Linked DNA regions of Mus musculus: regions 1, 3 and 4 are each reported to be linked to region 2. Evidence: microRNA targets listed by miRTarBase, many of them from high-throughput screens and not tested one by one. Region 2 holds a microRNA gene; each other region holds the end of a gene's coding sequence.

What was found. Region 2 holds the annotated microRNA mmu-miR-181a-5p (AACAUUCAACGCUGUCGGUGAGU, at 935-957, opposite strand). A microRNA usually pairs through its seed, bases 2 to 8, with sites in the 3' UTR of a target mRNA and lowers its output. Matches are read on the target gene's strand: a 7mer-m8 pairs with bases 2 to 8, a 7mer-A1 pairs with bases 2 to 7 and ends in A, and an 8mer does both.
Region 1: the mRNA of Pkia is a reported target of mmu-miR-181a-5p. Seed matches in the 3' UTR shown: 7mer-m8 at 1,223-1,229.
Region 3: the mRNA of Morc2a is a reported target of mmu-miR-181a-5p. Seed matches in the 3' UTR shown: 7mer-m8 at 1,077-1,083.
Region 4: the mRNA of Zic1 is a reported target of mmu-miR-181a-5p. The part of its 3' UTR that is shown has no 7-base or 8-base seed match.

Annotation. Positions count from the first base shown.
Region 1 is chr3:7,441,609-7,444,792 of GRCm38, forward strand. It overlaps Pkia (protein kinase inhibitor, alpha), which reads left to right. Exons shown (of 3, transcript NM_008862.3): 3 at 403-3,184. The coding sequence ends at 482. Among named protein-coding and RNA genes, the nearest start is that of Zc2hc1a, 60 kb to the right of the region's middle.
Region 2 is chr1:137,964,241-137,967,424 of GRCm38, reverse strand. Mir181a-1 (microRNA 181a-1) reads right to left here and starts at 970; the gene lies at 884-970. Mir181b-1 (microRNA 181b-1) reads right to left here and starts at 786; the gene lies at 707-786.
Region 3 is chr11:3,688,689-3,691,872 of GRCm38, forward strand. It overlaps Morc2a (microrchidia 2A), which reads left to right. Exons shown (of 27, transcript NM_001159288.2): 27 at 347-1,789. The coding sequence ends at 415. Among named protein-coding and RNA genes, the nearest start is that of Morc2a, 41 kb to the left of the region's middle.
Region 4 is chr9:91,359,031-91,362,214 of GRCm38, reverse strand. It overlaps Zic1 (zinc finger protein of the cerebellum 1), which reads left to right. Exons shown (of 3, transcript NM_009573.4): 3 at 449-3,184. The coding sequence ends at 646. Among named protein-coding and RNA genes, the nearest start is that of Zic1, 5.1 kb to the left of the region's middle.

The DNA of each region.
Region 1 (3,184 bases), not on the chromosome of region 2:
AGAATTTTTAGAAATCAGGTGTATTATCCTAAAGTTCTATAAATAATGGAAAAAGGAAATTTTAAATGTTTCTTCACATTAGAGTTGGGGCACAATGCCAACTCGGTTTCTGTAGATTGTAAAACCACATTTAAGAGTGATGAGTGTGGCCATGAGATTTCCTTCACCAGAAGCGTAGTTCACCATTAACAACTCTAGACATTTCACAGGTCATTTATTTTTGACTTTCATTCTGATGTCTCATAAAGTGCCGGGCTCTGAACACATATACAGTTTTGTTTATTGTACACTTCTAAGAAAACCCACTTCTCTATAACCATTTCAGACTTTGAAGTCTCCAGCATTCTGAGAGACAGGAACCATGAGCTTTTCTTTGCTCTCACTTCTCATTGTCTCTTATAGAAGGTGAAGATGATGGACAGAGAAGCTCCACCGAACAAAGTGGAGAAGCCCAGGGAGAAGCAGCCAAGTCTGAAAGCTAACACTCCATTCTGACGGTCATCAACATCTGACAATGTGGCAAATATCCTGGCGATGCTCGGATGTATTCGCAGCCACGGGTGAAACGGAGGGGAAGAAAATGGCTGCGCTGCACAGCAAGACACTGTTGGTTGCCATGTCACAAGTGGGGATGGAGCCTGTGTCTGCACACAGCCTTTTCCCCACCTCTGTCATTAGCAATGGTTGAAATCACCTGGGCTGTGCTTGGATCTCCTTCGTGTATGGGTCCTTCCACTTGACCGTATAATGAAATGCTTGTAGAGAGTAGCACTGCCTAGCTGATGATTCCTGTGGCATCTGGCCCCTCATGATGTCAGAGGATTTAATTGTGTCTAATTGAAAAGAGTTGGTTGAACCCCAGAGTTTCAGTATCTCTGGCTGGAGTATTGACTCACAAAAAGAACCATCCAGAGAGCACAGTTAGCATTATGTCCCTGTGTGTGAGTGCTGTTACTTACGCCGTTTTGTATCGTACAGTACACCTGCTCTGCACTGCCCTTTGATTGCTTACATAAAACAAAATGATGTACATGACTGTGAATTTTTATACCGCTCATTTTTTAAAGGGCTGCCTTTTTAATTTCCCATAGTGTTGTGGCGTGAACAGGGCAGAACCTTCTTTTGTAAAACACAACTTTCCTCTTGATAACTGCCGAGGGTTACATCCACTAGACTCACTGAGCCCACTTTGCTTTATTATACAGGCATGTGGAAATATCCATGAATGTGAATATTGCCTGAGTTCAGTCTTAGTATCTACACAGACCAGCGTTCTGTCTTTCAATATTGATTTTATTTCCAAATAAGTACTTTCAACTGATACTTTAATTTTTCATTATAAGAATTTTTTTAAGAATCAACAAAATAAACAAAGAATGCCAGATAATGCAAAGAGCTAGAAATGTTGTGCTGTGAGGATCACTTTTCTCACACTGCTGGGTGCCACTGTTTAACGCAGGAGGACAACTTGTGAAGGAAGTGTTTTCCTCAAAGCCTGTGGGCACCCATCTCAAAAGTAAAGCCCTTGTGCTGTGGCCCCTCTCAGCCCTTTCATACCCAAATGTTGTTATGCACTTTTTAATGTTTGTAAAATTTTACTAATAATTTGTGTGAATTGCATTCAGATATAAAAATTATCACCCAACTACACTTTTACTGATGCTGTTGATGGTCTACGCTGTGTTTTGACATCACAATTCTTGTATGGGGAGTTTCTGTGGCCTGTATAACCCTCTCTGGTCAGTATTATGAAACCAACTATCTTTGGTAATAAATGAGGATCCAGTTAGATGCCCAAGGTTCACCTGGTGCATCATAGGAGGCAAATAACAGATGAAAGAAGACTTTCTCAACAGAAGAGCCTCTAAGTGTCCTGGAGCACTAGCATAGCTACAGTTCCAGGTTAAGTAGGTAGAGGTGTTTCAACAGGCAGACCTGGGTACGGTAGGAACTCGACCTGAGTCTGTAGTTACAGACAAGGTAGACAAGGAAGTCTGCCTATATCTTCCCATAGAGTGCTTTCATTACTGACTGGGAATATATGAATCTCATTTAGTCCCCAACTGGATGTTTTCCAGAAAAACAAGCACTGTTAAGTATGCCTTTCTGGATATAGAACAGTAAATACATTCAATATGAGAGGCCTTGCTTTGATCTAAGTCATTGGAGGCTAGCTAAAATTGAAACAAATCTACCTATTGATAGACTCAAAGTTGTGAACCTATGGCCTATTTGAGACAATCTCCGATAATCTATTTACAACATCCAACAGTTTCAATGTCCTTGTTTAACTATGCTGATAGCTTTCTTGTGAATAGGAAGATCATTCTTAAAGTTGTGTAATTCCACACTGGTTTCACATGCATTTTGTAAAGTGTTGAACCAGTGCTAAGACTGTGTGGAAGGGTTATACCCCTGTGTCATATACTATTACTAATGCATGCGGTGCCATGCTTGTCTTTAAATATATAAGTAGTGCTAAATGCAGAAGTCATAGGGAGGTTCTGATTTCATTTGATTTCTTACTGCTACTTGGTGTCCTGTATTCAATCCTAGAGGGATTCTGTGGCTGGTAAGGGAAAAGAGATAAACATTCTGAATTTGTCACATCACATAAATTTTAATTGGCAAAAGTGCATAGAATCTCCTGGTTTTCATTTAATACTTATCATTTGCAAGTAAATAATACTACATAGGGAATGAATCTGTAAATGCAGATGGAAGTGTGGGCAGCCCAAGGAAAGGGGTGTTAGTTAACTACCCCAGCTAAGTCACTTCAGAACCAAATGTACCATTCAGTTTCATCTTATGCCCCTTTCACAAATTACAATGTGAACATGAATAAGGACTAATTTTTGCAAAACTAAAAAGCTAATTTGAGCCCATGTTTATCAACAGAATTTTGAATCCACATTTCATAAAATTTAAGCTAATTACACAGTGTGTTTCTCTGTATGGAAAACTATAGATAATACACTCAGTCAGCTTGCATTTTACAGAGAAAGAATTTAAGTTACTAAATAGACTAGCCTTTCTTGGGTTTGTACACATGTCTTTGGGACAAAGACACATGTGGTTGAGCCTACCTTTTTTTGTTGTTGTTGTTGTTTTAATACTCAATTATAGCTTATTTTGAATTTATTTAAGACATGTAAACTGTAAATTTACATGCTATGTTCATGCT
Region 2 (3,184 bases):
GGAAACACACACACACACACACACACACACACACACACACACACACACACACACTTGCTTGAAGACAGTCCCTGGAATCAAGTCTACCATTTCAGAAGAAAGTAGAGGGTAAATAAAGATGATGAACTATAATCTTAAATCTGAGGTCTCTCTGGGGAAACAAATCTATTGCATGATTATAATGAGCCCCTGGATAACAAAGTACTTGGCTATTGAGGTACTATCCCTCTGCCTACCAATTCCATAGAGAGTAGAGCCATTTCAGCGATTCTTTATGCAGAGCAAAAGAATTCCCTCTTGCTTCAAGCCCATTTTGACCAAGAAATCTAATGAAAGATGAGGGGATGGTTATTTTCTGTGTAACAATGTGACGGATAACGGGGCAGGAAGTAAGATATTTCTTTGGTTCTTCCTCCCACCAGCACAGCAGAGCAGGAAGCCGTGCCAACCCAGGGCTACACAGTTGATTCTGGGCATCCAACACTTTAGCATTTTTAAGAAATGCCCCATTTGTAACCCCCAGGAGTATAGAAAAGCAGTATTCTTATATAAATTAGTGACTTCCTCACAGAAATAGGACTTGATATGAATTGAATAAACAAACCTGAAAGTTCAGACAGCAGAAGTTAAACCGAGAAACGGCGTTAATACCCCCAGGACCTCTATTAGGGAGGGAACGTCTGTTGATTGCGACAGCAAAAAGCGGGGCCACAGTTGCATTCATTGTTCAGTGAGCTTTTCTACACAGTTCAACCCACCGACAGCAATGAATGTTGATTGTGACCTTTGTAAACATAGTCTCTGAAGAGGCGGGGAGAATCCTGTCGGGTCCTGCTTTGCGGTTCTGTCTTCAGCAAACGCAGAGGGCCATGGAGTAGATGATGGTTAGCTATAGGGTACAATCAACGGTCGATGGTTTTTATTTGAATTCCAAACTCACCGACAGCGTTGAATGTTCACTGAAGCAACCTGTGAGGCAGAGATGTGCTGATTTAAACAGTATCTGTGGGAGTCTGGAGCAGGAGGGAGGCAGAGGAAAGCCCAATCCTTTAACCAAACCTGTCACACATTTTAAACCATTTCAAAAGAGTACAGAAGAAAAGAAGCAGGATTCCTCCAGCCCAGAGCTTGGCAAACCTCCACTTTGTGCTGTGTCAAAGAAAAGAATCGGATTTTTTTTTTTCAAAAGGGAAGAAAAGTCCTTTTGGGGGGAGCTTAGTTACAGGCTGTTAAAGACAGGGAGAATTTATCATTCAACAAAATTGGAACTATCAAAAAGCAAAACAAATAGTATCTAAGTATCTCATAATTTAAATATTGGTATGTATATAATAAGAACTGCAAGGACGCATGTAGGTCATGCAGAATCAAGCAGAAACCACTTAGGTTTTCTCAAGTTACATTGCTAACAATTTTGAACTTCTATGTTTACAATGTGCATGGAATAAGCATTTATTTTACAATAGGCATTTTAATTAGTATAATTTCTTTTAAACATACTTATTTTTAAAACAATCAAGGAATCAAACCAATTTAGCACATCTTTCTTTGCTTATGACACAAGACTTTAAACTACAATGAAAATTAATACAACCTATGCCTACTGCCTGAAATTCAACTCCTCTCACTTTGGTTATTATATCCTAATATTGTTATTTGTTTTGATTGAGTGGATCTGGCAGTAACTTCTATCCATTTCCTAGGTGTTCTTGAAATGAAGTGCATTTACAAGTTAGTATGAACTCTATTGAGCATGTCTTCAAAACTGATTTCAAATATCAACTTAAACAAAAATCCCTTTGTACTCCTCAAAACTAGGGTAGAAAGTTACTACATTATACTTATGTAGACTCTTAAGTGGCTTTAATAAGTATATATATATATATATATATATATATATATATATATATATATATATGTGTGTGTGTGTGTGTGTGTGTGTGTGTGTGTGTGTGTGTGTGTGTGTAACTATTAATAAAATATTGGTGAACCATTCAGTCCAAATTTTTATACATATTCATTTTATTTACTTAGAATATTGTATGCTAAACCTGTAATCATTTATTATCTTGTACACGAAGAGATTACAGGACAAGTGTCTCTGGCTGGTATTTTGAGGTAGATAAGGTAACGATCTGCTGATGGCATGCATTCAGACTTCAGATAGTTACAAGACATAAAACTGATGAATCTGAATAGTCCTGTGTGGCTTCCTTTGAGATAGCTTTCCTGCAGAGGGCTGTCTCTTGTGGAAGGAAAGCAAGTCTTCCTGGGACCATCTGTGTTATCAGTTTCACCAGAATGCATGTTGCTCATGTTCCCTTGCTTGACCACTGCACTATCATATTCAGGCCAGCATCCCATTGCTTCTATACATACCTGTCATTGCTTTTGATATCATTTTTTCAAGGCTGCTGAGCTGAGACTCTAAGCCATGATCATTGCCTTATCTCAATATACAAAATTGGAACTACGATCAAGCAATTTCCATCCGAATCACAATTAATAGCAAAGCACCGCAATGTGAGGGGTTTCCAGAACCTTCTAAAATTCTCTGTAGAAAATATAAGTCCAAATTTCTCAAATTCTTAGAATAAAATTACGGAGAATACTATCATGAAGTTCTTAGGAGATTGAAAGTGATTGGTGTTTAGTAAGAAATTAGATTAAACATCACATCACTGACATATTTTAACTCCTATTTATCCAATGAAACATGTACTTTTCTCATGGCTATAGTTTTTGATGAGAAAAACCTCTCAATAACTTAAACTCACTCTCCATGAGGAAAAGCACCTCTGCTCTTGCTGCACCTGCCTCACAGTAAGAGAATAACTTCAGGACGGTATTCTACAGGGGAAAGATGTCTACTTGCTGATTTAGCTTACCTTTCCTCGGCTTTCTACAATGCTGGTTCCAATCACTATTTTACTAGCTAACCTTGTCTGCACTGTTATTTTCCAAATTTGATAATTGGCTGGAATATTAATGTTGGACAGTATTGAAATTTTACATTTTCTGTCAGGTGTCGAGTCTTATTTGACTATTTTTAGAAAATGTTAAGATTCCAGGATTCTAAATTGGTGTTAACCATCTGCTTCCTTGCAGTTTTTCCTGAATCAAGAGCCACCAGAAATATGTCATTTGTGTGCACGTAGGCAACCATTCTCCCTTCATAATTTTT
Region 3 (3,184 bases), not on the chromosome of region 2:
GGGAAGCTACTTGCCTAGGGTTCTCAGGGTAGAGATACTTGTACTGAGACTGGGAGCTCACTAAGCTGTAATAGGAAGTTGTAGGCAGTAGGAGAGGTTAGAGACCTCTACATATGTGGTTTGATGTGGCATTGTCCAACTTTTAGTATAAGACACTAATCAGTTTGAAGATGTACGGGTTAGAACCAGGAAACCTATAAGAAAGCTCCCATCCTTTTTTGGGCATGCAGATTTAACTGAAATTTGGAAGTAGGGCAGGAGCAAGAAACAGAAGCTGACAGCTGGCTCAGGCCCATTCTCCAGCCTGTGTTCCTGCCCCATCTGACTCCCACCCACTCTGTTCCAGGACATAGACATCAACACAGATGATGAGCTGGATGCTTACATTGAGGACCTCATCACCAAAGGGGACTGAGGAGCCGGGAGGCTAACTCCTGCTCATACCTGCCCTCAACACAGCAGCTTCGGGGAGGGGAGTTCATTTGTGACTTGGTGGACTTGATCTTGGTTTGAGTCATGTGAGACATTTGTGCTTTGGGAAGGAGATTCTTTGAATCTTCTTCCCTAAGTTTACATAAATATTTATTTTTTAAAAGAGAAGATGTTAATGCCTGCTGTGAGACCGTACTTTTTTTTGTGTGACTCTTGAAAGGGCACAGAGTCTGAACCATTCAGCTCCTGGCACCTCAACATAGGATGAAGAAAGCACCATCCTGAAGTTGGAGAGGCTCTAAGGACATCAACAATGGGATATGAAAGATACATGGCCCCAGGGACTCAGCTCTGCAAGACCCTCAAGGGGTGATCAAAACAGGCCCAGTATCAGAAAGACACTCCCTGTAACAGATCTCCTGGTGTCCAGACAGGGCTGTGAAGGTCTGTAGGCTGCCTGAGCAGCTGTCAGTCATCTTGGATGTGACAGTATCCAGACAGCTTGGAGATGTTTCTTAAGGCTCAAATTTCCCAATATGCCACCTACTTTGTTACTGGAGGAGCCATTTCCTGAGTCAACCACACTATCCAAGCTCAAGCATAGACAGCTCTGACCGGTCAGATCCCTGGGCTGGATAGCACTCTGAATGTTGAACTCCAAAGATTCTCAGGGTGTGCAGGTGTGAAAGCTCTCTGGAGGAGAAGGCTTCCACAGTGGTGCTAGTTCCTGGAGAGCCTTTGCTGCTGCTTTTCTACTATGTACTCTCTGGGCTCCAGAGAGCCCTGCACCTCCCATGCTCTGGAGGTGAGGAGGACAGACCATGTGCTTCAGACAACCACTCAGAGCCAGAAAGGCACGAGCTTCATCTGATGGCTGTCGGAAGAATTCTGGTTCCAGTCCCAACTCTTCACACTCCTGTTCAAGACTGATTTTGTACTCTTGATCCAAACCACCTTGGGATTTGTATCCATCAAGGCAAGGCTGCCACCTTGTGTCCTGGGGTCTCTGCAGAAGATGGGGAAGTGTTGGTGAGGGAACTGTGCACATATGGCTGGAAGTGCCTGCTTGAGTTCTGCCATCAGGTTGTTTAGGGGGGATAGCATTCAGAAGTTCTTCTCTGGAACATTCTCCAATAGATGGGTTTTAAGTTGGTGCACTTACCCCCACGGCTGCCCCCATCCAACTTTCTGTTGACCCTATCCAGGCAGAGTATGATCCATTTTTTTCCATAAACCCACTGTTTAAAAGGAATTTGGCCCTGCATTTTTATTGGCAGGTAATACTCATTTTGATTTTTTTTTTTTTTTACTTACACATGTAATCAAAATGTGTTACTATAAATTTCTACTGGTGAGACTCCTGCGTTCAGTACATTCTTACGTGAATCACAAGACTTTTCTCTTCATTCTGTTACAGCTCCACCGTTCGTTTTAGCTTTAACTTTTCCAGATTTAACTAATCCAGCCTCAACTTTTCTGAGTGTTGGGTCTTTCCTGGGAACATCATGGAATAGCTGACCTGGAACATTTTGATGATAAGGCATTCACTGGCTCTAAGGGAGAAGTGTGGGGTTTAAGATGCTAAGTAACAGTGGGTGGACGTGGTAAGAATTTAAATACTACAAAAGCCTGAACATGAAAAAAGGACTCTCTTCTACCTGATCCCTAAGTTTTCCCTGGAGATCAGAATATTTATCTTGGGCACCCAGCTACACATCTGCCCTCTTGGGTTTCCTTACATTATTTGCCAAGAACATATTGTTTCAGAATGGCCAGTATGGGTCTACTTTGTTCTGAACCATCACAGGGCATTTCATTATCTTGGTTGTGCTGTCATGAAACAATATACTTAACAATTGTAACACCTGTGAAGAAAGCTGTGGTATGTGTGTGCCTTTCTCCATTACATTTATATAAAGGATAAGTTCCAGAAAGGCCTATCATTCTGCTCTCAGCATCTTCCAGTTTCAACTCATTAACTGTAGGTATCTCAATCCTAACTTTTCACTATTAGTAAAAGGGATTTAGTGCCCACATAATGGAGCATTTTGGCTTGCCTAGGTGTATGGTTTTGTTGGTAGAGAGGTGTATGTACTTCTGAGTCTAGAACTAGGGTTCTCTTTGTAGATCATGAGTTTTTGCAAAATCCTCAGGAAAATAATCCTCAGGATTCCTAACTCCATTAAGGAGTAAAATGCTGTTTACCACCAGATAAAGATAAGTAGTACAGGCTAAAGAAACTTTTTTCTTTTCGTCTGAGAGACACTGCTTTTTATCTCACAGGCTCGTTTCCCAAGTCTGCATGATGTTCAGATACAGCGGCTCCTGATAGTTTGCACCTTTAGGGATCAGTAGTATGTGCCTGAAAAAATTCCAGATTTGCTGTTTACATAGAACTCAGGTTTTGTGCTTGCACTGGCTACTTGAACCCTGTTGGGAAGATCATCCAACAGGGTAGGATGAGCCCAAAACATCCTAAGAATTCTAGCAAGGTTCTGGACTGGAGATAAAACCACAGGGCCTCCATGTTCAACAGCTACATGGTACTTACTTCTCAAGCAGCTGCAGAGTCAGCTTGACCCAGGAGGCAGGGCTCAGACTGCCCATTCCCTTCCACTGCTGGAGGGACTGTCTCCACGGTGAAAAGGGATGGTAAGGCAAGGCAAGGTGTTGCCATGCCTACATTTCAATCTTGCTATTTTCAGTAACTTGCCAGGTGCTATGGCCCACCCAGGGCCACTGCTGGGTTCAG
Region 4 (3,184 bases), not on the chromosome of region 2:
CCCCGCTGTCAGAGCTGCTGCGGTGAACGCGGCCATCGCTCCTGGTAGTCAGGAGCAGGCGGGCGAGATGCTGCGGTCTTGGGCTCAGCTCTCAAAATCCGCTCTCCTCAAAGTGGGCAGGCAAACTTTAGGAAGGGAACTTTCCTAGCCTCTGGCCTCAAAAGCAGCCTCCTCCTTCCCAGCCCCCCTCCTCTTTTTCTTTTGTGAGTACTGTAGGGCAGAGTCCCCTCCTGGAGCGTGGCGGTGCTGGGCTACGCCGGGAGAACCAAGCCCAAGTCCCATTGGCCCTGCCTGCGGAGAGTCTGGGAGATCCCTGGCTTTGAAAGAAGCGGGGAGGGGTAGGGGAGGGGGTGCCCGGGCGAAGGGAGGGGGAGCACAGCTTTCATAGCCTTGGGTAGCTGCTGGGCCCACTCTTTATCTTCATTAAAACGCAACTTTATTCTCTCAGGTCCATGAGTCCTCTTCTCAGGGCTCACAGCCTTCGCCCGCCGCCAGCTCGGGGTATGAGTCGTCCACGCCACCCACCATCGTGTCTCCCACAACAGACAACCCGACCACCAGCTCCATGTCGCCCTCCTCCTCCGCGGTTCACCACACAGCCGGCCACAGCGCGCTCTCTTCCAATTTTAACGAATGGTACGTTTAAAATCAGAAACAAAACATGCCGACCCCCTATTTAAGAGACTGAACACACACGTATATACGCCGTATTATTGAAAGAATCCTGAAACTCGAGACACCCCTCGTCCCGATCCCGCAAACGTTTTTATTTTTATTTTTGTTGTTGTTGTTGTTTGTTTGATTTTGTTTTTAAATCTGCCGGTAAATCCAGGACTGAGTAAAACAGAGGAGGCAGCAAGCCTTTAGGTTTTTTCACTCCAAATTTTTCCTTCCCCCACCCACCTCTGAAAAGGTTTGGTAGCTGAAGGGCGGAAGGGGGTGGAAGAGAAGGCGGCTGCCTGACCGAACACCGCCAAAGGCCCCAGGGCCAATTTCTTGTTGGATCAGAACAAGCTCTCTGGGGCTTCAGCTTTTCTTTATCTTTTTGTTTTGTTTTCTTGTAAATACAGAATTATTAGCTTAAATCTGTTCTGTTGGATTCTGTATATAGCTACACTTCGGTTGGAGTGGGTGGGTGGGATCGTGGCGTGGTGGTCTTTGCCTTGGGGAGGGGAGGGCCAGAGGGAGGGGGAGGGGGAGGGGAGGGGCGGCCGAAAGCCAACTGTTTGTACTGAATGGCAAGAATGTTCTAGTAAATGTGTACCAAAATGTGAACTACTTTGTACGATTACAGTCTCCACGTCGACCTAACAGAATATTATTGATATTAATGTGCTTTTTTTTGTATAAAGTGCAAACATTTCGTCCCAAAGTCTGAGTACTTTAGTGCAGTAAAATGTTGTTTCATGTCCTGTCAAGAATTCGTATAGTACGAGCCTGGATCTACGTGTCAAACTGTTCCATTTGTTTATGTAAAGTGATATTAAAAAGATATAAACTATAGCTGTCCATTGCTTTTGGCAAAATATACAACCACACAATGTATATAATTCCTAGTTTCCATATTTATCCGCATGTAAAGGGTCTGGTTTATTCATGTTACAGCTATTCAATATTTATGGCTAGTAAAAAAAAAAAAAAAACTCGTATGTACACTTTAGTTTCCAGAACTGTTTGGTAACCTTTCGTACGTTATTAAAGATTCTTAAATCTCAGTGATTGTGGTAGGAATTTCTTCGTCACGCTCCCTTCCCCCAGCAACCTGTGCCAGCTTTAGTGGATCTTGGGAAAGCTCTCCAGCCTCTCTTGCCTTCTTCTCTGTCATTGCTGGTCATATAAACTTGATAAATGAACGCTACCCTGCTGGCTCTCCGAGAGGGTGTAATTAGTATTTATATCAAAATTTATGAAACAAATTTTCGGCCTCAGTATAATTTAAATGACCTTTGCAGACATAGAATAACAACCATAAAAATAACGGAAATAGATTGCACAGGCAACATCAATATTAATGTAAGCGAATTGTGAGAAGCTCGGGGGCTCTTTCTGTAGCCTTGCAAATGAACTTACAGTCATTCAAGGGTTCAGCTGCCCCCCCAATTAAATCCCCTGATCTGAAACTGGATTGTAGATTTACAATATTATATTTTAAATTGCTGTCTTCAATTAAACCATTATGGCCATAACTAATTTTCAGGATGCCGATGCATGCTTTTCCAGGCCTTCCATCTTTGTACAAAAGTAAATGTCCATAAAGCGTTTCACTTATATTTTTTCAAACGTGATGCTAATTTAAATTAATTACTTCCTATGATATATTATTATTCTATAATTTTGCTACTGTCATTAGTTCTCTCAAAAATACATCTAGAAAAGAGAATTATTTTATGTAATGTGATTATCTTTCTATCTCTTTTATTTATTTCTCATTTACTTAAGAAATTCGTTCCATTGGCTGGCGTTGATACAGTAAATTTGTAAATGAGGAGACAATATAAAAAATCTAAATTACTTGTGCTTAATGACTGTGGCAGAACGCCTTTTCTCTAAATCAGATTGTCTTTCTTGCAGTTTAGTTTGATAGATTTGCAAGCTATGCTGCTTCGGAGAAGTTAGGTTCTCTGGTAGGGATGCTGGTTTCTTTGTCTCTTGTTGTCGCTTGCATGATCGCCCCATTAGGCAGACAACGTAGCTAGAACTCACAAATCAGGCCCTTGGCTATGGCTGCAGGGGTGTAGATGTGTTAGGAGTCAGGGGAAGCATGATTCTGCTTCTCCACTGTCCTCTGTATGTCCTGCAAGTTACAGGCCTAAGGAGACCCTTCTGAGAGCTTTACATGTGTTTCACAGCAATAGCAACTTGAGAAACTAAACCACTAGCTAATTATACAATAAAAATATTATCATCGTGAAAGACACCTCTTGCTACTTGTATTTCTCACGTTTAGTCAACAAAGTCTTATTTACGGATAAAAGGTTTTGCTGTGTTAACTTCATCAGTTTCTTTTTTAATAGAAAAGGGTGGGGATATTGATGTTTAACTGTAAAGAACAAAGTTTCTCTGCTTATAACAGCGATATTGGATATTGGCCTTTTGTACAAAGAGCGCTATCTTGTAAAATTTGTTGAGATTTTGGAAAGTTAAATACCTAAGGAAGAGTTGCTGTCAACCCTAAAAAAAATTG